Linked DNA regions of Diceros bicornis minor. The protein of the gene in region 1 interacts with the protein of each later gene in a pairwise test. Links are inferred from orthologs where the notes say so. Each region holds a gene or a part of one and is shown in the gene's direction. Other genes may lie near its edges. The genes, in order: RFESD and HBQ1.

Region 1 (13,328 bases):
ACTCCCATTTTATGATGAGCCTCACTCTTTTCAAGAGTTCAAAGTGTTCACAGGAAGCAGAACCTTATTGCAGCACTGGCCACTCACTTACCTACCAAAGTTAGGAAACTAACCACTCCTTACCCCTAGGGCAAGGGCCAAGCAAAATTGTACATATTCCCAGAACCCAGTACTTGGTGTCGCCAAAGACTCTCTAAAATAAGCGCAGGATCTGAGAGAAGGGGAGACCTTGGTCTCAGCTTCCCCAGGGTGGCTGTCAGTTGGTCAGTGCAGGAGGTCCAAGTCTACAAGCTGTGAAGGTAAACTCAATTGGGAGAAGTCTTTTCATAAGAGGTTAATATGGGCAACATGTTTAACAAATCTGGGGGCGGAGGAAGATCCATCTATGCATTTATCTGAGACAGAGGCAAGTTTAGAAATTTGCAAAGGTAGAAGCCCCAGTCTCCAAGTGTCTTTCTCTTCTTACAGATTAAAAATCTCTTCATTGCCATTTCCACTCTGAGCCCTCGTCCTTAACTGAGCAGAGTCTCTATCTCATGCCATGGAGCTCTCCTGGAGCGTGTGTTTTCCGCCCTGTGCCTCAGTGGCTGTTTTCAGTGACTTTGGCTAAGCAATCTGCCTCCTGGTATGGTTTCTCCAGTGCCATCTTGACTCCACAGGATGGTGCGGAGTGACTGTGAGCATGCGATGTACTACACAAATCCAAGGCTAGTCCCACCATGCTTCCCTCTCCGGACCAGAATGCAAAATGGAATTTGGAGCAGCCCAGGCAGTACCATCTACCCACACCTGTCAGGGACAATTTCCAGTTAGATACTCATTGGTGCTCTGTAGCAGGGGTAGAGCTCAGCCGCCTTGCAGTTCAAATGCAGCTGAAGGTAGATCCAGGTCAGAGGTAGGGGGGAGGCTCTCTTTAAGAAGAATACAAAATAATAAATAAAAAATGAAGTATGAAAGTGAGTATTTATTTAGAATGGGCAAATGATCATGAAAAATGTAAATATAAAAAACTGAGGGGCCGGCCCAGTGGCGTAGTAGTTAGGTTCGCGAGCTCCGCAGCCCAGGGTTCGCAGGTTCGGATCCCAGGCGTGGACCTATGCACCACGCATCAAGCCGTGCTCCGGCAGCATCCCACATACAAAACTAGAGGGAGATGGGCACCGATACTAGCTCAGGGCTAATCTTCTTCAGCAAAAAGAGGAAGATTGGCAACAGATGTTAACTCAGGGCCGATCTTCCTCACACATACAAAAAAGATATAATATCAAAAATTCATTAATTAATTGCCAGACATACTTCTATAATACTTTTTATCTACAATTTTTGTCTACCTACTGTTTAGTCATCCTTTCATGCGGTAACAATTTTATGATAATATTCAGTACTAAGAGAACAGAAAGATAACTCAATCTTTCCTACAGCATAATCATTTTTTAATTGACAGGAACCATAAAACAAGCTGTTTTTAGTCCTAGTATAGGTTTATATACTTACAGACACAGGAATTCTGATAAATTCTGTTTCATATGATTCCCGTCAAGAAAGATATATGATGGATGTATAGTTTACGTGCTGTATTATTGAGCATATTCCATGTGTACTGTCAATGAGAACAGAATCCTGTGCTTACAATTTTACCAAAAGTCTGATGGTAGACAGGATTTCCCACAGATTAGTTTCTGGCTCTGTCTGTTCAAATCTCGTTTCTCCTCCAGGACTCCCATACTTCTTGTGCCAGACACCACAGCCCATGCTCACATTTTGATAGAACTCTGGCCTGCGTGTCAGCATATGAGGAGAGTCATCATAGTGGGCGGTGGGAGTATTTTTGGAAGCTGTTTCTACACTGGAACAGCCAGCAAAATTTAACTATACACATACAAATATATGCCACTAAACCCATACTAAATATATTTCTAACTCAACTACCCCTTAGCCAAATGTCCAAAATGCTTGTGTGACAGAAGGAAAGGAGACAATGGCCTTAATCCATTGAAGTTAAATCATCTTACTTTTACACATTTTATAAAAACATATGACCACTATTCCTTTCCCTCTTCTCTTTCCTTCCCGAACCATTTAGTCCTGAAGCCAGTAGGTGAGACAGAGCAGGGTGACAGAGCCCAAGGGGAGTAAATGGTAACGTTGTGGTGCAGAGAGTCTAGCTCAATCCGACTGAGAAGCAAATAGGGGGGCACCCCTACCGGGGCTCTGAGTCCAATCTCTGTGACACTACTACCAAAGATGCATAACCTGAATCTAACCATGAGGAAATGTCAGACAAACCTCAAGGGAGGCACATTCTACAAAATAAATGGCCTATAATCTTAAAAAAATATCAGTGTCATGAATGTTAAGAAAAGATTGAGGAACTGTCCCAGACAAGGAAGCTAAAGAGACGTGACAACTAAATGCAACTTGATTCTGAACTGGATTTCAGGATTAGATGGTAGAAATACCTCACTGTTAACTTCCTGATTTGGGGATTGTATTATGGTTACTTAGAAGAATGTCCTTGTTTTCAGAAAATACACACTAAAGCATCAGGGGCTGACAGCGCATCAGATTGGCAACATATTCTCAAATGGTTGTTGGGGGATAGTTTCCTGTACTACTCTCCTGTAATGTTGTGTGTTTCCAAATTACATTAAAAGGATATAAAGGATGACCATGTGAACACATTACCAAGGTCCCTCAGGACCTTGGAAAGGGCCCATGCGTGGGAGGGGAACTGAAACTTAAGTTTCATTAATTTCACTGCAGCAAATATTACCCTACCCAGTACTGTCTGAAAGGCCAATGTACCAAAAGACCTTTTTCCTATAATTTAGTTCTTGCCTTAGCTATGCCTGCTTTCCAAGGTCTTTGTGGCCTCCCTACCTCTGCTGAGATCCAATGTGGTAGAAGGAACATGTTCTGAACATTGTTCAAGGTCAAGGAGCCTGCCCCTGAGGTCCACATCACCTAAAGCCCTCTGTGCTGCCTTTGCTGGGCCCACATAGTTCCGTGCATATTTGCTAAGCCTGGCTTGGTACTAATGGCCAGTGTCTTGCTTGAGGCTCAGTTCAGACTACCTCGTGTTCACCGACCTCACCCCCTTCCCCATCCCCTACTTAAGGTCAGCTTGTGTATCATTTACTTAACACCAGGGACTTAAAGTTCTACCTGGAAGATAAAAATCAGGAGTGAGCAAAATCTCCTCTTAAAATCTCCAACCTTCACTCCCTTTTTTTGATAAGTTCAGCTGAGCCCCTTGTTTTCCTTTCTACAGATCTGTGTGCCTAAAGAGAGGGTACAGTCTGGTTCATCTTCTCAAGAGGACAGCTCTAAGGGAGAAGACAGCAGTTTGGGTACATAAATTTAATTCAGGAGACTGTTAGCATGTCCATTTGGCTGTACACTTAAGCCACCCCAATCTAGAGTTTTATCATTTAAATAAAGCTTACACTTTGATCTCTTCCTGTATTTCTCAGTTGGTTCCAAACTCAGGCAGGAAAGAAAGGTGTTATTTATTAGGTCCTCTCAAAGTCCAACACAAATAAAAGATGATGGCACCTTCTAGAGTGGTGACAACAGATAAGGAAAGAAGCAGAGTTAGAACTGACAAGTCTCAGTGCTCGATTAGGTATGGGGGGATATCACAGGGGTCCCTAAAACCACATCACGTCCAGGGATTCACTAGAAAGACTCATGTGACTCATTATCTAGTTCTTCTCATGCTAAGATTATTACAGCAATGTTGTAAGAATACACAGTTGGATCATAAGGAAAAAGGATAGACGTGGATACGGAAGAATCCACGTGCAGGCGTCCTTATGCTCTCTCCCTCTCAGGAGGGGTCACAAAGAGCTCACTCTTCCTCCAGCAACGAAGATGCAGAAGCATGCGTGCAATGTTTCCACTGAGGGAAGCTGTTAGAGACTCAGCACCCGAGGTTTTTATGGGGGGCTGCTCAGGTAGGCACCTCTACCTAGCAATGTACCAAAGTTCCAGACTGCTGGAAGGAAAGCAAGTTGTGGTCACCATAAACCATACTGTTTGTACAAACAGTTTAGGCACAGTGAGTCACTCTTATTATTTAGCAAAAGTCTTAAATCAATGTAGGACTGTTTACCAATCAAGTTCCCAGATGCCAGCCAAGGGCCCACCTCGCAAGCAGAGCTTTTTAAGGATGGCAGTCTCAGGTTAGCTATGTTAACTCTTTTCTGCACAGGAAGAGTGAAGAAAAGGGAGACATAAGTATGGCGACGGCAGTGTTGTCACCTATGGAGATGGAGGGGACAAAGGAAATATAAGTTTATGGGAAAAATTTAATATTTCAATTTTGAACACATAAAATTGGAGATAGCTATGAGATAGGTTCAACTATGCCATGTTGCAATCATAAACAACCTTAAAATTTCATCTAGAATGTCAACTGTTGTGACAGAAAAAGAGACGACTAGAGAGGTCTCATATCAGCTCTTCTACGTTTCCATCTAGCAGTGACACACCACGTTTTCACCCACAGCCCACCGGCAAAAACTAGTCACATGGCCTCAACCAACTGTAAGTGGGGCTGGGAAATGTGGGGTGGTAGATGGGGTGTTTGGTGAACACCACTGTTCCTGTCACAATATCCAGGTGGGAAGGTCACATGGGTATCCAGAACAAACGAATGTTCTGGAGACTTCCATTTAGGAGTCATAAACAGATAGACGGTATTTAAAGCCAACCTCACTTTCACGTGATCTGAATCCCAATGGCCTCATAAGGGCAATGTCATCACCATTTTCTGGTTTGAAGCAGTAGGAAATCCAGATTGGTGGATACTCTTCAAACCTCCCTGTAGTGAAACTAGCAGCACATGGTCTTCCTGAGCTCACAAGACAGACTTTGGTTTAGGATTGAGGGCAGGTTTTGAAGCTCTCTGAGGGGAAGGGCTTGGTCCCAGAAAAGGCTGTCTAGAAACAGCCTGACGCTCAGAGCAGAGGAGAGGGGCTCACAAAGGTGAGAAGGGACATTTGAAACTGTTTATGGATAGATATTGATGGGCAAGTTCACCGAGGGAAGGATGGAGTTTTCAGTGGTAGGTAACAAAAATCATGCCAGGGCTACCACTAGGTGTCACTAGCAGGAAAGGAAAGGATGAAAGAACAAATAGAGGAAGGAACAGAGGAAGATGCAAACTGGTTCCAAGGAGACAGGAGGTAGAAAGCGCCCCCAAATGGCCTCAGGTAGAACACTGTAGGAGCGGTGTCCACACTGGTTGGAACTGTTCTATTGCACAAAAAAGGAAAAAGAAAAAAGTAAAGCGACAGTAGCAATCATGAATTTTATTCTGAACTGTATGACTTTCAAATGAACTTTACGGGTTCCTGAGGTAGCTCATGCACGTGCCTGTGCCTGCGCAGGTGTGTGCATGCATTTGTCAGTGTGCATCTAGGGAGTGGAGAGAGGTAGTTTATTCTGCCCCACCACCACTAAAGTTTTCCAAGCATTTCATATGATTACATGACTAACCACATTAATACTTTAGGTAGAGATAAAAGAAAGTTTCCATTTCTCTCTCATTCTTCTTGTGTATGCATACATGCATATCCGAGGTCTTCAGTTTATTCAAAATCAGATTTAAGGTCAGTGGATCTAAGATGTGTCTTATTTCAACGCCCAAATTATACCAAAGCAAAAAAGAAGGACTTTTCATTAGAAATGGCAAACTTTATTTGGTTCTTCAATGACACAAGCTGAGGACTGCCAACACCCCACATGTGCCAATAAAATAATTTGGGATGGCTAACAGATCATGTAAATTATAATAAATCCACATATATTTTATTATCACTTTGCTAAAGCGTTGCTTTAGTTTGTGCTTGGATCAAATGGCCAAAAAGGAAATTATCCCATAAAATATTACTATCATCCCAAAACTATACTGAACAGAATAGAAATCAGAAGAAACTGGCATTGGAGGCAAATCCATTATTCTGGGCTTCTCAATCTTTAACATGTTGAGACTCATAGGAAAAAATGGCATTTATATGGCATACTGGGGTAAACGGACAAGGCTCCTGGGTTTCAGCTGCCCCGGGCCCACTGGGCCACTCTAGAATCTGAGATCAGTATGTCAGCATTTAAATATAGATTGTGGCTTTCAACCTTGAAGTCACACTGGAATCACTTAGGAAGTTAGAAAAAATGCATATTGATTCCCCCCCACTCACCCCGAGGTTTTTATTTCACTGGGCTGGGCATCAAGACTTTTTAATACTCCCAGGTGAATATAAGGTGCAGCCAGAGTTAAGAACCACTGGATTAGAAGATAGTTAAGGAAACCAAAAAACCTATCAGACTCATCTAGCTTCCAGCTCTGAACACAAGTATGGGGGGGGTCTTTTTTTTTTTTTTTTTAATTCGGAGAAGTATAAAGAGAAAAAACAAAGTTGCAAAGTTCAAAAAATGAAAGTGAAAACCCTTCATCTCCCTCAAAACAAACACTGTTAAGTTTTCTTTGTTTTTTAAGAAAAAGCTTATATTCATACCTACATATTTGTATCTCGAGATGTAATTTTTATTTACACTAAAGACAGCACACTACACATAGTATTCCATAAGTTTGCTTTTTAACATTCATTACATCATGAAATCTGCTCTTTGAGTGCATGGCTACAAAGTAATTCACATGTCCACACTGTATTTTATTTAACCATTCCCCTGCTGATGATCACTTTAGCTTTTCTCATTCTTTTGTTGCAATAGACATCTTTAAACACGGATTATATGCATCGTGATGAACTTTTGCAAATACTTTGCAAATTCCTATTTAGCTCAATTCCTAGAAGTGAGATCGCTGGGAGCATTTGAAATTTGGATAAATGTGGTGTGATCAACAAACATTTACAAATAAATTGATACCACCTACGTTTGCCAAACACACGATTAAGACTGTCACTTCGGAAGTCCTGGCAGAACGTGGTTGGTCAGCGGTCGCTGTCAGGTGGGGTCCTCAGCCTGCAGGGCCGCAGCGGCGGTCTCCGGGGGCGGCGCTCTAGGGTCACGTGGGCGGCTGCGCCCCGCCCCCCGGAGGCTCGGCGCCGCGGCCGGCGCGCCAACTCGCGCAGTAGCGTCACGCGCGGTCCGCAGCCGACCGGTCTCGCGGAGGCGGAGCGAGGGACTTGAGGAAGGTACGTTCTGTTCTCGCCGCGGGGTTGGGCGGCTGGCGCGGGGCGGGGCTCGCGGCGCCGCTGCTTCCGGCCGGGCGGCAGGCCCGGCCTCGGGCTTCCGGCGGCGGCGTTTTGGAGCGGTGGCTTTTGCTCCCGGCCTCGGTCCCGCGTTCCTTAATCGTTACTCCGCGGGGCAGGCTTCCGCCCAGTCACATGCGGCCCACCGGGCTCGTTCACCTTGGAGCGTGGGCCGCACCCTGACCTGCCGCCTCGGTGGGGCAGCCGGGCCTTCTCGGCCAGCGGTGCGGGCGTCTGCGCGCTCTGGGGCGTAAAAACCGCCCCGGTTGCTGCGGCCGCGCCGGCCCCGCTGCGCGTCTCCAGAGGTCCGCACAGCCGCGCTCACACGTGAGGTTCTCGAGTGCCGCTCCGCATAACGACCGCAGACCGTCTTCACTAAAACGTTACGTACGGCTTGAAGTCACGTCGGAGCTGGAAGGACCGCAGAGATGACAGCTAACGGGCCTGGAGCCGTCGCCGCGGTCGCGCCCGCTGCGAACGCTCGACGTGGAGGCGGCGTCTGCTCCTCCCCGCAGCGCCGTGCCGCGGCCTTCCTCGCGGGCGCGCACCCCGCCGCACAGCCCGGTTCAGCGTCCTGCCCCCAATCCTGCCCACCCGCGAGTCACACCCGGCTGAGCCCACCTGCTGGTCACAGGCTCTTAAGATCGCCCGCGATGGTAGCGGATTCCAGAGCGGCTACATGACTTTATTACCTTATTAGGGAGGTATTCCGTTTTGAACATTTGTTGACGCGACTCTTGCACATCAGCATTCCTAAATTTAAAAAAGTTGAGGACCATCATCTTTGGTGATATATATGGTGATTATCTATATATAGTGATACACATATACGCACGCACACATATACATGTGTACACACAGATGTCTTCATTTTGCCAAATGTCAAGATAGTCTACTGGCAGACCACGTGTTTTTATAAATCCGTGGCTGCTGCTTAGATGCAGTGTTAAGATTTATGTATCAGTGTCCGCAAAACTTAGGCTCATAAGATCTGGGTTTGTATCGTGACTGCTACTTTGCAGTTTGGGCAAGCTTTTGTTAAAGAGGGTCCTTTACTTAGTTTTCTCATCAGGAAAATAGGTATAATCTTTACCCATTGGCCGTTTTGTGAGGATTAATGAACTCATATATGCAAAAACCCCAAGGAGTGGCACTCACTGAAGGATAGCTAGTTTTAGCTATTATTATTCTGCCATCCAAAGAGATACAAAACAACTGTCTAAGGCATTTCTCTTCTCTGAACCTGAAAGCAAGGATGTCACCCTGGAGTTATGCATTCTGATAATGTGTACGCCAAGTCCCCAGACTTAGTGAAAGCACCTTAGTCAGTGCTCAGGAGGAGTAACAAGTTCCTGTCATTTCGTGTCTCTTTTCTCCCCAGTGTCTTATGGAAACTTATGTTTTTTTAAAAATTCAAGCTGAATGGATTCCCTATGCAGGAAAGGTGTCTTAATAGAGACTGAGAATCCATTTAGCTAATTTGTAATTTTATGTGGTGTTTGCACTTTTAAAAATCTAATTTTAGGCACAGGCCAAAAAATATTTCTTGAAGAGAACTGGGGAACAAAGCAGCTAAATTTTTCAGAAGGAAGTTTTCTTATTCTAGCCCGTAAACTGGGTAAGCCATTTAATTTTTCACTTTGTTTTTATTTAGTTAAGATTCTCCTATCTTCAAGTCCACTCAAAATAGAGATATGTGTGGGAGCATATGAATAGTGCATCAAAGTAACAGTAATTAAGGTGAACACAGTGGCTCTTATTCTTGTCTAAATGGACGGTGATGTTCACAACATTTAATTAAGAATAATAAGGGTGTTAATTTTAAATAGTCACAAGATATCATAAATAAATAGAACCACTTATGATTCATGAAGGGAACAATTATTTGAAGGATAATACTTTCCTAAGCAAAATGCAAGACTGTAATCATACTTCTCTGAAACCCTTATCGTTTAGCCCCAGCTTTCTCTGCTTATTTCTTATCAGCCCCTGCGAAGTTCACTACAGTTTTCCTCGGTTGGGCAAAGACTGTATGTTCCAAGCAACTGACTCTTGAGAGAGGATTGTTTTGGGGTCTCATTTATTTGGGAGTCAAGGAGAACTTAACTTTTGATGCTACTCCACATGTCATCTATTTTGTTACTTGCTTGATACTAGTATTTCTTTTCTAGTTTTTGCCTGGAAAAAGAAGAGAACTATTCATTTATTTCCCCCTCTAGTGCCAAGTTTTGAAATAAGCTGTACAAAATTCTCAAATAGTCCATTCATGATCTATGCACAGGCACATTCTCTGAGGATACAAAGTGCCATTTTTATCTTCTTTTTCTTGGATTTTGGATCATTTGCTACATAAACATAAAGTAGGATACAACTTAAATATTGAAAAAGAATAATTTTAAATATAAGAATTAATGTAATATTTTGAGATATTTAAGAAATTTTGTGTTTACTCTCCCCTTTTCTTTATAAATTTACCCAATATATATGTATCCATGAATAATATATGGTTTGGGTTTGCCTTTTTTTGCATTGGTAAAAATGGAAGCATACTCTGAATTTTTAATTTTTTTTCATTTAAAGTTACATTTTTAAAATTAATCCAAATTGATGTAGCTATACGTTTTTCACTGCTACACAGCATTCCATTGCATGAATATAAAAATTATCCATTCTACTGTTGATGGATTTTGAGTTGTTTCCTGTCTTTTGCTGATATAACCATTCCTGTGCATGTCTCCTCGTGTACCTGTGTACATTTCTCTGGAATATACCTAAAGTGGGATTATTGGGTCTTGAATATGTTCAGCTTTACTGGGTAGTGCCAAACTGTGCTAGCACTAATTGATGTCATCACCATCAGTGCTCCATATCCTCGCCAATACGTGGTATAATTTTTTGCCAGTTTGTTGGATAGAAAATAGTATCCCTTTTGTGCCTTTGCTTTCCATTTCTTTTACATTTTCCTACTAATGAATCTGAGCATCTTTACATGTGATTACTGGCCATTCAGATTTCCTCATCTGTGAAATGTTTGTGTCTTTTGCCCATTTTTCTTTGGTTATTTGGCATTTTCTTACTGGTTTATAGGAGTTCTTCATATATCTGAATCTTAATCTTTTGTTGGTTATATATGTTGCAAAGTCCATATTTCTTTCATTTCTTTTTCTTCAGCCTATTTCCCCCCTCTTTCAGTTCATCTGTCTGTCCCCATTTTTCTTATCATTATTGCCCCTCTGTCTGTTCTGTCACAAAATGTGATAAAGGCTGCACATCCAACACATGAAGGTAAATACTACCCTCTGAGCAATTTGTGTACTTTGAGTACCTGCCAAAATCGAGTAAAACCAGATAACTGTTGAGAGATGTAATCATCCAGCCTCCTGTCAGCCATGACTAATCCAGAAAATCTTGGCCATGGTCTTCTTTGCCTTTTCTTAAAAACACTATATTTCTGCTTTTTTTATTGTAAAATAATTTTTTTAAATAGCATATGTGGATTTTTTCCATTTTTAAAAAAAGTAGGTAAGTCGGAGCAAGGGTTAACAGTGCAAACTTAAGAGTACAAATTTGACATCTCTGTAATTTCCTAAGCTTGATTTGTATAATGCTTTCATTTATATGTTGAATTCAAAGCTCCTGCCTCTTCCTGTCAGCACACATGCCCACACACAAACATCCCTCATCCTACACCTCAGTTTCGGAGTCCAGGCTTATGTAATATCTAATAACTATCTTCCTTATGGCTCAGAGGTACCCTTCTCAAAATAGTGGTCTATAAATTTTTTCTTTCTAAAGCTCACTCCTAACATATAGAGATTTTACTTCTAAATAATAATTTCTCTGTTTTACAAACTTACTTTTTAAATGAGCCACGCTCTTTTCCTCCTAACACTTTCCAACTTCCAGTCAGTCATACAGGATTAAATAAATATTTATAAAAATTTTATATTTAAAATATAAAAAAAGAACCTGTCAGAAGGCCTGAACCCTCTTGGCACTGCCATGTAACAAATTTTCCATCTTGTTGGGAGGGGATTGTGTCTAAGCTACGTACATCAAGGTCCAAGGGCCCTTTTAAAGAAATTGAATATATGTGTTTGTATGTAAAATGTTAACCTAAGACAAGTGAAATCAAAATGGCAGGTTCCTGTTGATCTCTCGTTCATCATTCTATATAATCATTCTGTGTGACTTCCTATGAAATATGACAATATTACTGTATTGAAGAGGATGTAGATTAGGAAGGATCATCTTCCTAAGATTAGAGTATTTATTTGAAGCTGACACGTGATTTATAATTTCGTTAAATATCTTAAATTGTAGACAAGTGTATGTGTGTTAAATATGGTAAGCATTCCATGGCAAACTTGCTAATGTTTAACAGCATCTGGGTCTCTACAACTAACATGGGCTGTCACTTTCATTCACTTCCTTTCCTTTTCCAAATGTAATTCCTTATCTTGTATAAGGCAGAGCTGGAAACCTCTCAAGTTATCTGGAACTTTCTGTCACTTCCCACTCTGATGAAATATCCATAAAATGATGAAATTGTTAAAATGGAACTGAAAATGAAAATGTTGAGTAAAACCTAGCCTTACCATAACCTTTAGAGTTGTTACATATTTTGTTTTGTGTGCTTGTGTCTGACATAGACATCTATTGAGACGTTATGACTGAAGAGTTATTTGAGGTTGAAAATACACACACACCACTTTTAAGGCTGTGTGCTTAACTGTGAATTTCAAAGAATGGCTCCTAAATGTTATACAGTGATGTATATGAATCATTATTTTGATTCAAAGACTGGATCAGATCTATGTAGAGTTGACCCTTGAGCCATTTCCTGTGAACAATATTGAGAGATTTCTGGTCTTGATTTTTCCCACCTTTTAATTTCTATATTTGGCCAAAAGTATATTTAGGAGTATAATAGGAGACAAACTTTAGAAATATAGTGTAGTAATAAGAAAAAGAGAGTAGTAATAGTTATTCTAGTTGTAAGCCTTTACTTGGATGTTAACCAGTATTTGATTTCTAGGAGAGTGGAGGTTTAGGCAGTAAGTGAAGTTAGAAGGAGAAAAGAGTATAGGGTTGGCCCAGCTCTTTATGAACAACCAAAGTTTGGGGACAGAGTTTCCCAGGAAGCCCATGTTTTCTTCATATATCATTCATTGTTTAATACATAGAGGTGGCCAGCATTGGAATGGATTTTACTTCACTGCCTGCCTTTTTGGCTGGATTACCAAGTATTTGCCGTTTGAGGAGAATATAGGATAAAGAAGTGAGCAGTGAGTGAATTTCATTTGATTAGCAATGGATTGGACACTCTACTGGTCTTGCTTCTCTTCAGCCTCTCTTCCACCTGACCTCTAAATGTTGATGTGCTTCAGGAATTGTGTTAGACCCTCTTCCCTATCTATGCTCCCTTCTCCAAGTGATTCCATTGAATTCCATAACTTGAAAACTCCCAGATTCATCTCTCTAGTGATTCTCAACTCTAGTCTCGTATACCTGATCGTTGACTTGATATCTCCACCTCGATGTCTCTAAGGTACCTCAAACTCAGTATGTGCAAAATGTAGCTAGTTCTTGACTTTCCATTCCTGCAAAATACCATTCCTTTCTCAGTCTTTCCCATCACAATCACAATCTGCTTGGTTACACAAACCTAAAACCTGGGAGCTATCCTTATTTATTTCTTTTTCTCTAGATCTCCATTCCAGTTCATCAGCCCAAACTCTCTGTGCCTCGTTCAGTTTTCTCACTGTAAAATTTAAGAAATACATTCTTTGTAGAAATAGGCTGGAGGATTAAATCAGTTAGTAAAGTCCTAACAGTTCTGACATGTAGTTAGCCCAATATCATTGTAGCTACTGCTGTTATTTTTGTTGTTATTATTATTATTACTTTTCTCCCCCACAGAGTCAACACCCTGGTCCAAGCCACCATCTTTTCTCCCATGGACCACACGATAGCCTTCTGATTTCTGTGCTTCCACTTTTGTTTTGCTATAGTCCATTCTCCACACAGCCAGGGCATTCTTTTAAAAACGGATCATGTGACCCTTCCCTGCTTTCCAACTTCAGTGCCTTCCCATCGCTCTTAGAA
Region 2 (11,146 bases), on another chromosome or scaffold:
CCCGGAACCACCGGAGCGGGAATAGAGGGGCGGTGGGGAGCTGGCTCCCGGACTGAGAGGGGCGGAGGGAGTCCTGCCCGCCCCCGCTGACTCCCGCAAGCGCTGTCCCGGCCTTCACCTCCCGGCTCCGCGCCAGCCAATGAGCGCGGCCCGGGCGGGCGTGCCCCGCGCGCCGCGAAGATAAAGCCCCGCGCTCTGCCCACCTCCCACACTTCTGGTCCCGACACAGACTCGGAACTACCACCATGGTGCTGTCTCCCACCGACAAGACCAACGTGAAGACCGCCTGGGGTCACGTTGGTGGCCACGCTGGCGAGTATGGCGCAGAGGCCCTAGAGAGGTGAGGACCCTTCTTTCCCCGGCCGGGACCCCAGGGCCCAACACCCGCCCCAGGAGCCTGCCAATAACACCCCCATGGGTTCCGACCTGGCTGGCGCAAAGACCCCCAAGATCTCAGGGTCAGACCGCGGAGTCGCGGGGAGAGCCTGGCCGGCGCCTCCTTCCGAATCCGAGGTTCAGGACCCTCCCCCGGACTCCCCCACCCCCCACCCCCACCCCCAGGCTCACCCTCCTTTCCCCGCAGGATGTTCCTGAGCTTCCCCACCACCAAGACCTACTTCCCCCACTTCGACCTGAGCCACGGCTCCGCCCAGGTCAAGGCCCACGGCAAGAAGGTGGGCGATGCGCTGACCCAGGCCGTGGGACACCTGGACGACCTGCCCGGCGCCTTGTCGGCTCTGAGCGACCTGCACGCCTACAAGCTGCGTGTGGACCCCGTCAACTTCAAGGTGAGCCCGCGGGCCGGGCCGGGCCGAGCGGGAGAGACCTGGGATGGAGGGCGCAGCGGGACCCCCTAGAGGGCAGAGAATCCCGTGGGTCCCAGAAGGTGGAGCTCGGGCGCCCCCGCCCCGACGCCCCTGATAGCTCCTCTCTCCGCAGCTCCTGAGCCACTGCCTGCTAGTGACCCTGGCCCTCCACAACCCCCAAGATTTCACCCCTGCCGTCCACGCCTCCCTGGACAAGTTCTTGAGCAATGTGAGCACCGTGCTGACCTCCAAATACCGTTAAGCTGGAGCCACGGCCATCCCTGCCCCCAGCCCGGGGCCCTTTGCGCTCAGGGCGGGCTCTTCCTGATCTTTGAATAAAGTCTGAGTGGGCTGCAGCCTGTGTGCGCCTGGTTCTCTGTGTCCGCGAACTGCCAGGGGTGGAGTGGTCTCCTTGCCTCGGACCAAGGACCTCCCAGCAGCGGGAAGGGGAGGGCGGAGGGAGTGCAGCTATGGCGGATGCTTCAGGGAATGCTCTGAACCGTGCTCCTGTCCTGGGTTCCTCTCTGGGTTGGGAAGTGGGGACTTGTTAGGTCGCCACCCTCTTTTGAAGTCTCGCTGACTGATGCCTGTTAAACATACAATCTAGATCAAAACAAACCACAAACAGGCTGCTCCTGTGCAAATGCAGGCGCCGGACAAGTCCTAGGAGATTCCACCTCCTTCCTATCAGAGGGAAGGTGGCTTGGAAGAGGCGTCGCAGCCCCGCGCACCCTTCCTGGGTCACAGGAACCCTCTGTGGTGGGTGGCCAGGACAGTCGGGGAGGAAGAGGGCAAGGCCAGCTGCAGCTGTCAGGGGCACTTGGGGAAGCGCTTAGCGGAGCACCCGCCTCCCTTTTTACTGCAGGTCACGACCACAGCAATAGCTCACAGCGTGCCCAGCCCTGCGTCCCCCAGCTAATTGTCTCCCCCATTCTCTAGCTGGAGGCTCCTGGGGTCTCCCAGCGGTTCTGCCCCAGGCTGTGAGCCGCTTTCAGAAAGGCCCCAGTCCCGGGTGCTGAAGCCCTGGACTCCATGCTGGAATTTCCCACACCCCATCCGGCTGTGCAGCCGCCTTAGAGACACCATCAGCGCCTCCAGCCCAGCCCAGATCTCCAGGGCAACACATAGCGCTAGATAAAAGTTTGGGGAGGGTGGCGAGCTCCCTGCACACCACTTTCCTTCTGGACATGGGCCTCCCTGAACAGCCGGAGATGCTTCCCCCTCTCTACCACGCACTCTTCCTCTGCCCCACAGCCCAACACATTTTTATTTAAACATAGAAAAACACTTAAGAAATAAACTAGGGGGCCACCCCATGGCTTAGCAGTTAGTGCTCGAGCTCTGCTACTGGCAGCCAGGGTTCGGATCCTGGGCGCACACCGACGCACCACTTGTCCGGCCATGCTGAGGGGGCGTCCCACATACAACAACTAGAAGGATGTGCAACTATGACATACAACTATCTAGTGGGGCTTTGGGGAGAAAAAGGGAAAAAAAGGAGGAGGATTGGCAATAGATATTAGCTTAGAGCTGGTCTTCCTCAGCCAAAAGAGGAGGATTGGCATGGATGTTAGCTCAGGGCTGATCTTCCTCACCAAAAAAAAAAAAAAGAAAGAAATAAACTAAAATCCACTCATTCTTTCACACATACACACCCTTTTTGTGTTATTCAAAGAAGGGAGAGAGACTCCCTATGCCCTGTCCCCACTCCTGCAGAAGAAGCCCAAGTTAACAGTGTGGGCCTGAGCCTGCTGGCTCCTATTCTGTGCTGGGGGGACACAGCTACAGCTACAACTACTCTTTTTGTGTGTGTGAAAAATATCATGATATTTGTCAAAAATACCATCATGAGGGGCCATCCCAGTGGCGTAGTGGTTAAGTTTGCACACTCTGCTTCAGCAGCCCAGGGCTTGCAGGTTCAGATCCCAGGCGTGGACCCACACACTGCTCTTCAGGCCACGCTGTGGCAGCGTCCCACATATAAAATAGAGGAAGATTGGTATAGATATTAGCTCAGGGACAATCTTCCTCACACACACACAAACACAAAAACCATCATAAGAAGGGAAGAGGTGGGGGGAGGGCAGAGGGGTGGGGAACACATATGTATGGTGATGGATAAAAACTAAACTATTGGTGGTGAGCTCGATGCAGTCTATACAGGGACTGAAGTATAATGATGTACACCTGAAATTTACACAATGTTATAAACCAATGTGACCTCAATAAAATAATTTTTTAAAATACCACCATACCGTAGATAATTGTCTGCAACCCACTCTTCTCACTGAAACGTGTCTCCTCTACATTTCTTATGGCCAGTTTTATCAGCTCTGTCTCATTTCACAGATGCATTGGTCATTTCTGTATTTCTGTTAATTTTCTGTTAATGTCCTTTGTCAGTTGTTCTCCTAAGGAGCTGCATAAGGATTCCTGCTCCTTCTCACTGCTTCACCAGGAGTCCCTCCCTTCCCCCATCCTGCAGGGTCTGGCCAGCCTCATCATCCCCCCATCTCCCCACCTGCATTCTGCAGCCACAGAGGCCTTCTCTCACTCTGCTCCCCTACAAGCCTCCCCCCTACCCCACCTAATACTTATTCATCCTCCAGACTCACCTCCTCAGGGAAGCCCACCGTGATCCTCAGATAACCATGATGCCCTTGAGCGCCTCATCCACTCCCTCCGTGCTTCCTTAGGGCTTTCCACACGGTTTGTGTCCATGTATGCACTTGTGTGATAATTTGATGACTGTGTCCCTAACTAGGCTGAAAGCTTAGGTCTGGTTCAGCCAGTTGATTTATCAATTCAACCAGTAGTTAGCCCGCGATTCTTGTGTCACGCACAATTTGGGGGACTGGGGTGTCACTGTGAACCGGGACCACTTGGTCAGTGGGGGAGAATCACACAGGGGTCCCGAATAGGAGAGGCCGCCTCTGTGAGCCCCCGACCTGCGGCTGCAGCAACCACTGCCCTGGAAGGAGCCTGAGCCAGGAGCCCACCCAGCCCTGCGGATTCTGCCCCTCCATCTTTCCTCCCCGCCTGGCACTCAGTGATTTTTTGTGGATAGAAAGGGGGCTGAAAGGCAGCAGGAGGGATTTCCGGCGGGAATTCTTGAGCCCATGTGAGCAACGACCTCTTGTGCGTATCTCTCTCTGCCCCGACGACGAAGCCTTTCTTCCCTCGCGCACTCCGTTGCCCATTCATTCGGTGATTCTGCCCAAGTTAAACAGTCACGCGGGAGCGAAGACCGGTCCAGGGCGGGCGGCGGGGCTGACTCACTCCCTTCCGATCCCAAGAGAGCGCAGCCTGGTTATGGGGGCGGCGACACTCAGGGACCATGACGGTGCCACTAAGCTCTCACGGTGGAAGATCCCGCACCGACCACCCCCCGCCCCCAACCCCAACCAACCGGCCCCGTGGCAGGGGCCGAGGATATCGCCTCCGGGGGGATGGATGCAGCAGGCAGGAGGGAGGAACCTCCTGGCCGGGGACCCCGGGTCCCCCAGCCCATGGGGAGCGAAGCCCTACCGCTGCAGCCGGCGAAGACCCCGCCGCGCGCCCCCTGCCGTCCGGTCCCCGCCGCGCGCCCGGCTCTTCGCCAGCCAATGAGCGCGGCCCGGGCGGGCGTGCCCCGAGCGCCGCGAAGATAAAGCCCCGCGCTCTGCCCACCTCCCACATTTCTGGTCCTGACACAGACTCGGAACTACCACCATGGTGCTGTCTCCCACCGACAAGACCAACGTGAAGACCGCCTGGGGTCACGTTGGCGGCCACGCTGGCGAGTATGGCGCAGAGGCCCTAGAGAGGTGAGGACCCTTCTTTCCCCGGCCGGGACCCCAGGGCCCAACACCCGCCCCAGGAGCCTGCCAATAACACCCCCATGGGTTCCGACCTGGCTGGCGCAAAGACCCCCAAGATCTCAGGGTCAGACCGCGGAGTCGCGGGGAGAGCCTGGCCGGCGCCTCCTTCCGAATCCGAGGTTCAGGACCCTCCCCCGGACTCCCCCACCCCCCACCCCCACCCCCAGGCTCACCCTCCTTTCCCCGCAGGATGTTCCTGAGCTTCCCCACCACCAAGACCTACTTCCCCCACTTCGACCTGAGCCACGGCTCCGCCCAGGTCAAGGCCCACGGCAAGAAGGTGGGCGATGCGCTGACCCAGGCCGTGGGACACCTGGACGACCTGCCCGGCGCCTTGTCGGCTCTGAGCGACCTGCACGCCTACAAGCTGCGTGTGGACCCCGTCAACTTCAAGGTGAGCCCGCGGGCCGGGCCGGGCCGAGCGGGAGAGACCTGGGATGGAGGGCGCAGCGGGACCCCCTAGAGGGCAGAGAATCCCGTGGGTCCCAGAAGGTGGAGCTCGGGCGCCCCCGCCCCGACGCCCCTGATAGCTCCTCTCTCCGCAGCTCCTGAGCCACTGCCTGCTAGTGACCCTGGCCCTCCACAACCCCCAAGATTTCACCCCTGCAGTCCACGCCTCCCTGGACAAGTTCTTGAGCAATGTGAGCACCGTGCTGACCTCCAAATACCGTTAAGCTGGAGCCACGGCCATCCCTGCCCCCAGCCCGGGGCCCTTTGCGCTCAGGGCGGGCTCTTCCTGATCTTTGAATAAAGTCTGAGTGGGCTGCAGCCTGTGTGCGCCTGGTTCTCTGTGTCCGCGAACTGCCAGGGGTGGGGTGGTCTCCTTGCTTCGGACCAAGGACCTCCCAGCAGCAGACAGAGAGGGAAGGGGAGAGAGGGAGTGGAGCCAGTCGGCTGCCATTGCCTGGGGTGTGCTGCAACCCCCCATGGTCACCCTGGAGTGCTCTGCTGTGTACATTCACCCCTTCCTGCATTTCATTCCAGAGCCTTGCACATTCAACAGGGGTTTATTCAAATAATGAATTCGTTTTTCATCGTTTCATTTTATGGCATGCACACACACACACACGTGCACACGCTCGCACTGCTGGTTGGCTGGCCTCCAGCCTAGGACCTCTGAACTCTCCCAGGGCTCCTCCCAGAGTTGGGCAGTGAGGAGGACAGAGGTCAGACTCCTTCGGAGTTGCACTGAAATCCCCCCTCCCCGAGTGCCTCTCAAATACACGCACGTCTAGACGAAACTGAGAGCGAGCAGCGCAATTGCAGGTGCCAGGCCATCTCCTGGAGGCACCGCTTCCACCTGGTGCCCCTCCCAGGACGCTCATTCTGCAGACACTGACATCCTGGGGCCATCACGGGTCTGGAGGCCTGGTTTTCGGGCCCAGTGCAGCATCCACTACCCCGCCCTGAGGCTGGCACCCCTGAGACCCATGGACTCCCTCCAGTGCTGCATCGGAGAGGAGAGCCAGGGCCAGGGAGCCGGCACTCTGACATGCTTCCTCCCCCTGGAGCAGGCCCCTAGCGCCTGTGGCTTCAGAGTGACGGCTTGAGGTGTCTGGTCCTGGCAGCTGTCCAGCCCCCCACTGAAGGCAATGTCCTTTCCTCTCTGGGCCCAAAAGTCATCATTGAAAAACACGACGGGCAGGTCTCCTGCCTCAGTTTGTGATGCTTTTAGCACAGCTGGTGGCACAGCATGAGCAATCAGGAGGCAGTCTTCCTTATTTTATTACTAGGAAAAATGAAGCCCTGGGCTAAAAGTGGAAACAACCCAAGTGTCCATCAACGGATGACAGATAAACAAATGTGGCCCATCCATACAGTGGAATGGTATTCGGCCATAAAAAGCAATGAAGTATTGATACGTGCTACAACGTGGAAAGAAGCTAGACACAAAAGTCCATATATTGTCTGATTATATTTATATGAAATAACTAGAATAGGCAAATCCACAGAGACAGAAGAGCAGATTGGTGGTTGCCAGGGGCTGAGGGAACTAGACAGTGGTAATGGTTGCACAACATTGTGAATGTAATTCAAGACACTGAATTGTACACTTTAAAATGGCTAAGATGGTAAATTTTATGTTATACGAATTTTACCACAATTAAAAAAGAAAGGTGTAGAATGGTTCCTGGCATGGAATGAGCACTGCATAGGTATCAGCTGTCACTATTGGGGTACACCCGAGGCACTCGGTACATGTCCATTGTCCTAAAAGGAACACACGCTATGAGCCAGCACCTGACATTTGTTATCCATTTAACTCCCAAAACAACCTTGAGAAGAAGAAACTACCTTCATTTTAGACTATAAATGAGAAAATAGACTCAGAGAAGTGCCATAATAGACTCGGGAGGGAGGCAGAATAAGCTGACGTCCAATGCCAAAATGCGTGCTAAAATTCAGTGTTATCTAATAATAGTAATACATATTAAATATTAGTTTCCATATAGTAAACACTACAAAAATGGGGGCCTCGAGGTCCAGGGTGATTGGGAAGGTCCCAGGTCGGAGCAGACGCTCAGGCGAGCGCTCCCGGACACCTCGGGACCAGACTCTGCGACCGGAGGCGCGGCCCGGCCGCGGCGTGGCGCCCCGGAGGACCCGCCGGCCCGCCGGCGCAGGCGCCGAGCTCGCGCTCGCGGCCAGGACGCACGATGGTGCTGGCGGCGGCGGACAGGGCGGCGCTGCGCGCGCTGTGGAAGAAGCTGGGTGGCAACGTCGGCGTCTACACGACCGAGGCCCTGGAGAGGTGCGGGAAGATCCGCGTCCTCGGGCTCGCCTGCCTTTCCTCCCCAACCCGCACCCCAGACGCACCTCACTCTTTCCTCGCGCAGGATGTTCCTGAGCTTCCCCTCCACCACGACCTACTTCCTCCACCTGGACCTGAGCCCCGGCTCTGCCCAGGTCAAAGCCCACGGCCAGAAGGTGGCCGATGCGCTGACACTCGCCATGGACCACCTGGACGACCTGCCGTGCACCCTGTCGGCTCTGCGCCGCCTGCACGCGCACGAGCTGCGAGTGGACCCCACCAGCTTCCAGGTGAGCCCGCAGGCCGGGCCGGGCCCGCCGTTCCCCGCGACGACGGGGCGGGGACGCACGACCCCGGCGGGACGACCCCTTTCTCCGCAGCTTCTGGGCCACTGCCTGCTGGTGACGCTCGCCCGGCACTTCCCCGGAGACTTCAGCGCCGCCCTGCAGGCCTCGCTGGACAGGTTTCTGAGCCACGTGATCTCGGCGCTGGCCGCCGACTGTGGCTAAACCGGGGGGCGGTGGGCGCGGGACCCCCTGGCCGCCCCTCCCGCGAGTTCCAGTGTTTGAGTAAAGTCCCCGAAAGCAAGCCTGTGTGTGTGCATGTCCTCTCGGGCCCCACGGGGTGGGGTGCTGCCCCCCAGAGGAAGGGGGGATCTGGGAGACCCTGAGCCGCACACCCCCCTTGTTAGGTCCGGCACGCCCCAGGCCCATGTCCGCTGCACTGCTAGGCCGTCGAGGGGAGGTCCGGGTCGCCCCCACTCCCCGCGGCGCGAGGCGAGTTTGGGAAAGCGGGTCCTAAATCCCATACCGTAACCCCCAACCCACCCTGCCCTTGGCCGCGGCCACGTCGAGGCGCAGGCCTGCAGCTCCGGCCCCTCGGAAGTAGGGTGGCAGGTCTCAGCTGGCCAGGCCCGGACCCTCCCCCGGGCTGCTCGCTTCGGACTCCTCTCGAACCTAGGACCGCCGGGCCGGCCCCTCACCCACCTAGAGCCAACGGCCGCGTCCAGACGGCGCGGGCACGGCCTCTGAGAACATTAGGGAACGGCGCCCCCAGCGGGCGCGGACGGGGACCTGCAGGGCCCAACCTGCACAACCGTACACAGCGGCTTTGGGTATCTGGGAGGTTTGGGGTGAAAGCCCCCACTTGCCAGGCTCTGGACCTGGTGGAAGGAGGTGGGTCCTGCCCCAGCACCCAGTCCCGTAGCAGACAAGGTGGGCCAGGGCACCAGCCAGGAGCCCTGCCTACATCCCACACTTCTAAGGAGACAGAGGTCAGGGCTTCTTTCTTTTTAAAATTTTTTCCCATAAAATCAATTATGGTCTCTGCAGAAACTTCAGAAAAGAACACTCCACTTACTGCACCTTCCTGGGTATCCCAGTGGGTCCATGTTATGAGAGGTTTGGGGATTCGATCGGAGACGTAAAAGACACTTTCCACTCCAAACAAATGGACTGAAGGTATATTTTATTATATAGAGGATAGTAAAGGCGACAGTCTGCAAACTGATCCAAATAGGTCAAATATTAAGAGGGAAAAAACATCAGCCCGACTGGAAAGGGAAAACACCCACATCGGCTGAAGAGAAATGACACAAATCAACTGGAGAGAGAAACACCAGGTTGACCGAAAAGAGAACACATCAAATCACTTACTACACATCAAATCAATTATTTCACATCAAATCAGTTACTCACAGCATGCACGCCCCACTGCCGGGAGAGTCCTGTCAATAGACGCGGCTGGGCAAGGATCACACGTCCTGGGCAAGGTGTCCCCTCCACAGGTGGAACTCTCACCAGGGCTCAGTTTCCAGCAGTTTTTATATCATCAGTAATTTTTAGAGTAAGCAATTACAGAGTTTGCAGAGCAAGCATGTAGTGTTTCCATGCACAAATGGTTATCAGTGGCGTACGTGCACTGAGCCCCCTGGCTAACGTCCCAGCCCAGTAGTTGTGTACGTGCATTGTTCTCTTTGGTTATCGTCTCAGCCCGGCACAGATGGCCAGTCCATTCCAGGCTACGACGCTCCAAGAGCCTTGAAATGTTACAACTTGCAACTCTCTCTGTGGCAGAAAGGCCAGTTCCCGGGAAAAGGCCAGTTCCCACCACACAGAAAGCAGCTTTTATATTTCTTTTTGTGCTGGTGGCTGTAGGTCAATGGAGCGGCCAAACATGGCCGTACTCATGTCAAGACATATTCGGCCGTGGCCGTCTCCATTAACCATAAGACACCATACGCACAGACAATGAACTTCGTACACAAGTACATAAGGCACATCCAAGAATCTAAAATCTAATGACTACAATAATTATAAAACTATCTCACAATAAAGGACCCAGACCCCAAGGTAACCAATCAAACAACCTCTTAGAATATGAAATGTTATTAACTTGATCTTGCAAATCATGTATAGTATCAAAGATAACATTAGATAAGGTAACACTTAGGCCTAACAAACTAGCTTGTAGAAGTCCAGATCAGCCCCCATCATGGAGGGTAGCAGAAGGCAGGGTAATAGAGAAATTATTTGATATTGCGAAGTTGTTTGCTGTTTTTGAGACCAAATTTCTCGGCCATTCATAGTCCAAGTTATAGGTCCCACTGCTGTAGAGCAGTTGGTCTAACAGTGCAGGGTCAAAGGTTGTCCTATGGAGACATTAGTTGGTGTGTAGGTCTGCAGCAGACATGGAAGTGCAGCACAGCATAGCGAACACAGCAGGAATATCTATTTACGCAAAGAAACAGAATTTTTAAGAACATGATATAATTGTTTATTTCTTGGATATATAACTATGAGCGTTGTAGTGGGCCCTTGGGCCACTACTTCTGCAGCACGCGGAGCCGCATTGGGTGGATGTGTCACCCACACCTTTGTTCTAGGTTTTCATCCATCTGTAGACCTAAATCTTTGCATTTTTCTTTTAGTTAATTCACTTGGAGGTTGTCCTTGTGACACATTTGGGGTCAGGAGGGGAAGCACCAATAATTGTCCCACTCGTTCTCTAGACTCTACAGTTAGTACTGTGTCACTATCATTATATAATATAAATTTTATTTTTCCTTGATAATCTGGGTCAATAACTCCTCCCAGTACATCAATACCTTTTGTTGCCAGTCCAGAGCGTCCTTTTAACAAACCAAAGGTATTTTTGGGAAATTGTACCCCTATCCCAGTAGGGACTATAGACTGCTTCTTAGGGGGCAATTGAATAGAATGAACAGTAGATAAATCCAATCCAGCCGCTTCGGCCGTGGCAGGGAAGGCGGTTTAGCAGACTGAGTCAGGAGCCAATAGGTTAAGGGCATAAGCTCATGGGTGGCGGCTGCCACTTCTGTAATCTTTGCTGGTAACAACCTTGACAGAGGACTTAGATGGTTGTGCCACCCCTTTAATGAGCCATGACCAAGTTTCTTCAATTGTTGTTTAAGCAATCTATTCATTTGTTCTATGAGGCCTGCAGCTTGGGGGTAATAAGGTATATGATAAATCTATTTTATATAATTGTCCCTGGTATAAGTTTGAATCAACTTACCTGTAAAGTGGGAACCGTTGTCACTCTGAATTTGCCTTGGTGTTCCATAATATAACTTAATTATATCTAATAATTTTATGGCACTCTGTTGAGTGGCCACTTTAGCTGGCATAGCCAATAAATAACCAGAATATGTATCAACAGCAGTGCAGGCATAAGTATATCCACAAGAATTTGGCAATGGTCCAATA

The links.
Region 2: the proteins of RFESD (region 1) and HBQ1 interact in binary tests that used the Homo sapiens proteins (3 or more experiments, as listed by UniProt). The two-hybrid records come from large-scale screens. The link is inferred for Diceros bicornis minor from reciprocal best matches to the Homo sapiens genes RFESD and HBQ1.

What each region holds. Positions count from the first base shown.
Region 1 is NC_080740.1:21,369,030-21,382,357, forward strand, and holds the start of RFESD (Rieske domain-containing protein), read left to right. Parts: upstream 1-7,089; 5' UTR 7,090-7,163; intron 7,164-7,289; exon of another isoform or gene 7,290-8,019; intron 8,020-13,328.
Region 2 is NC_080765.1:48,124,489-48,135,634, reverse strand, and holds HBQ1 (hemoglobin subunit theta-1), read left to right. Parts: upstream 1-7,323; coding exon 7,324-7,418; intron 7,419-7,503; coding exon 7,504-7,708; intron 7,709-7,798; coding exon 7,799-7,927; 3' UTR 7,928-8,276; downstream 8,277-11,146. Other genes in the region: hemoglobin subunit alpha, read left to right, coding at 246-340, 584-788, 940-1,068; hemoglobin subunit alpha, read left to right, coding at 4,518-4,612, 4,856-5,060, 5,212-5,340.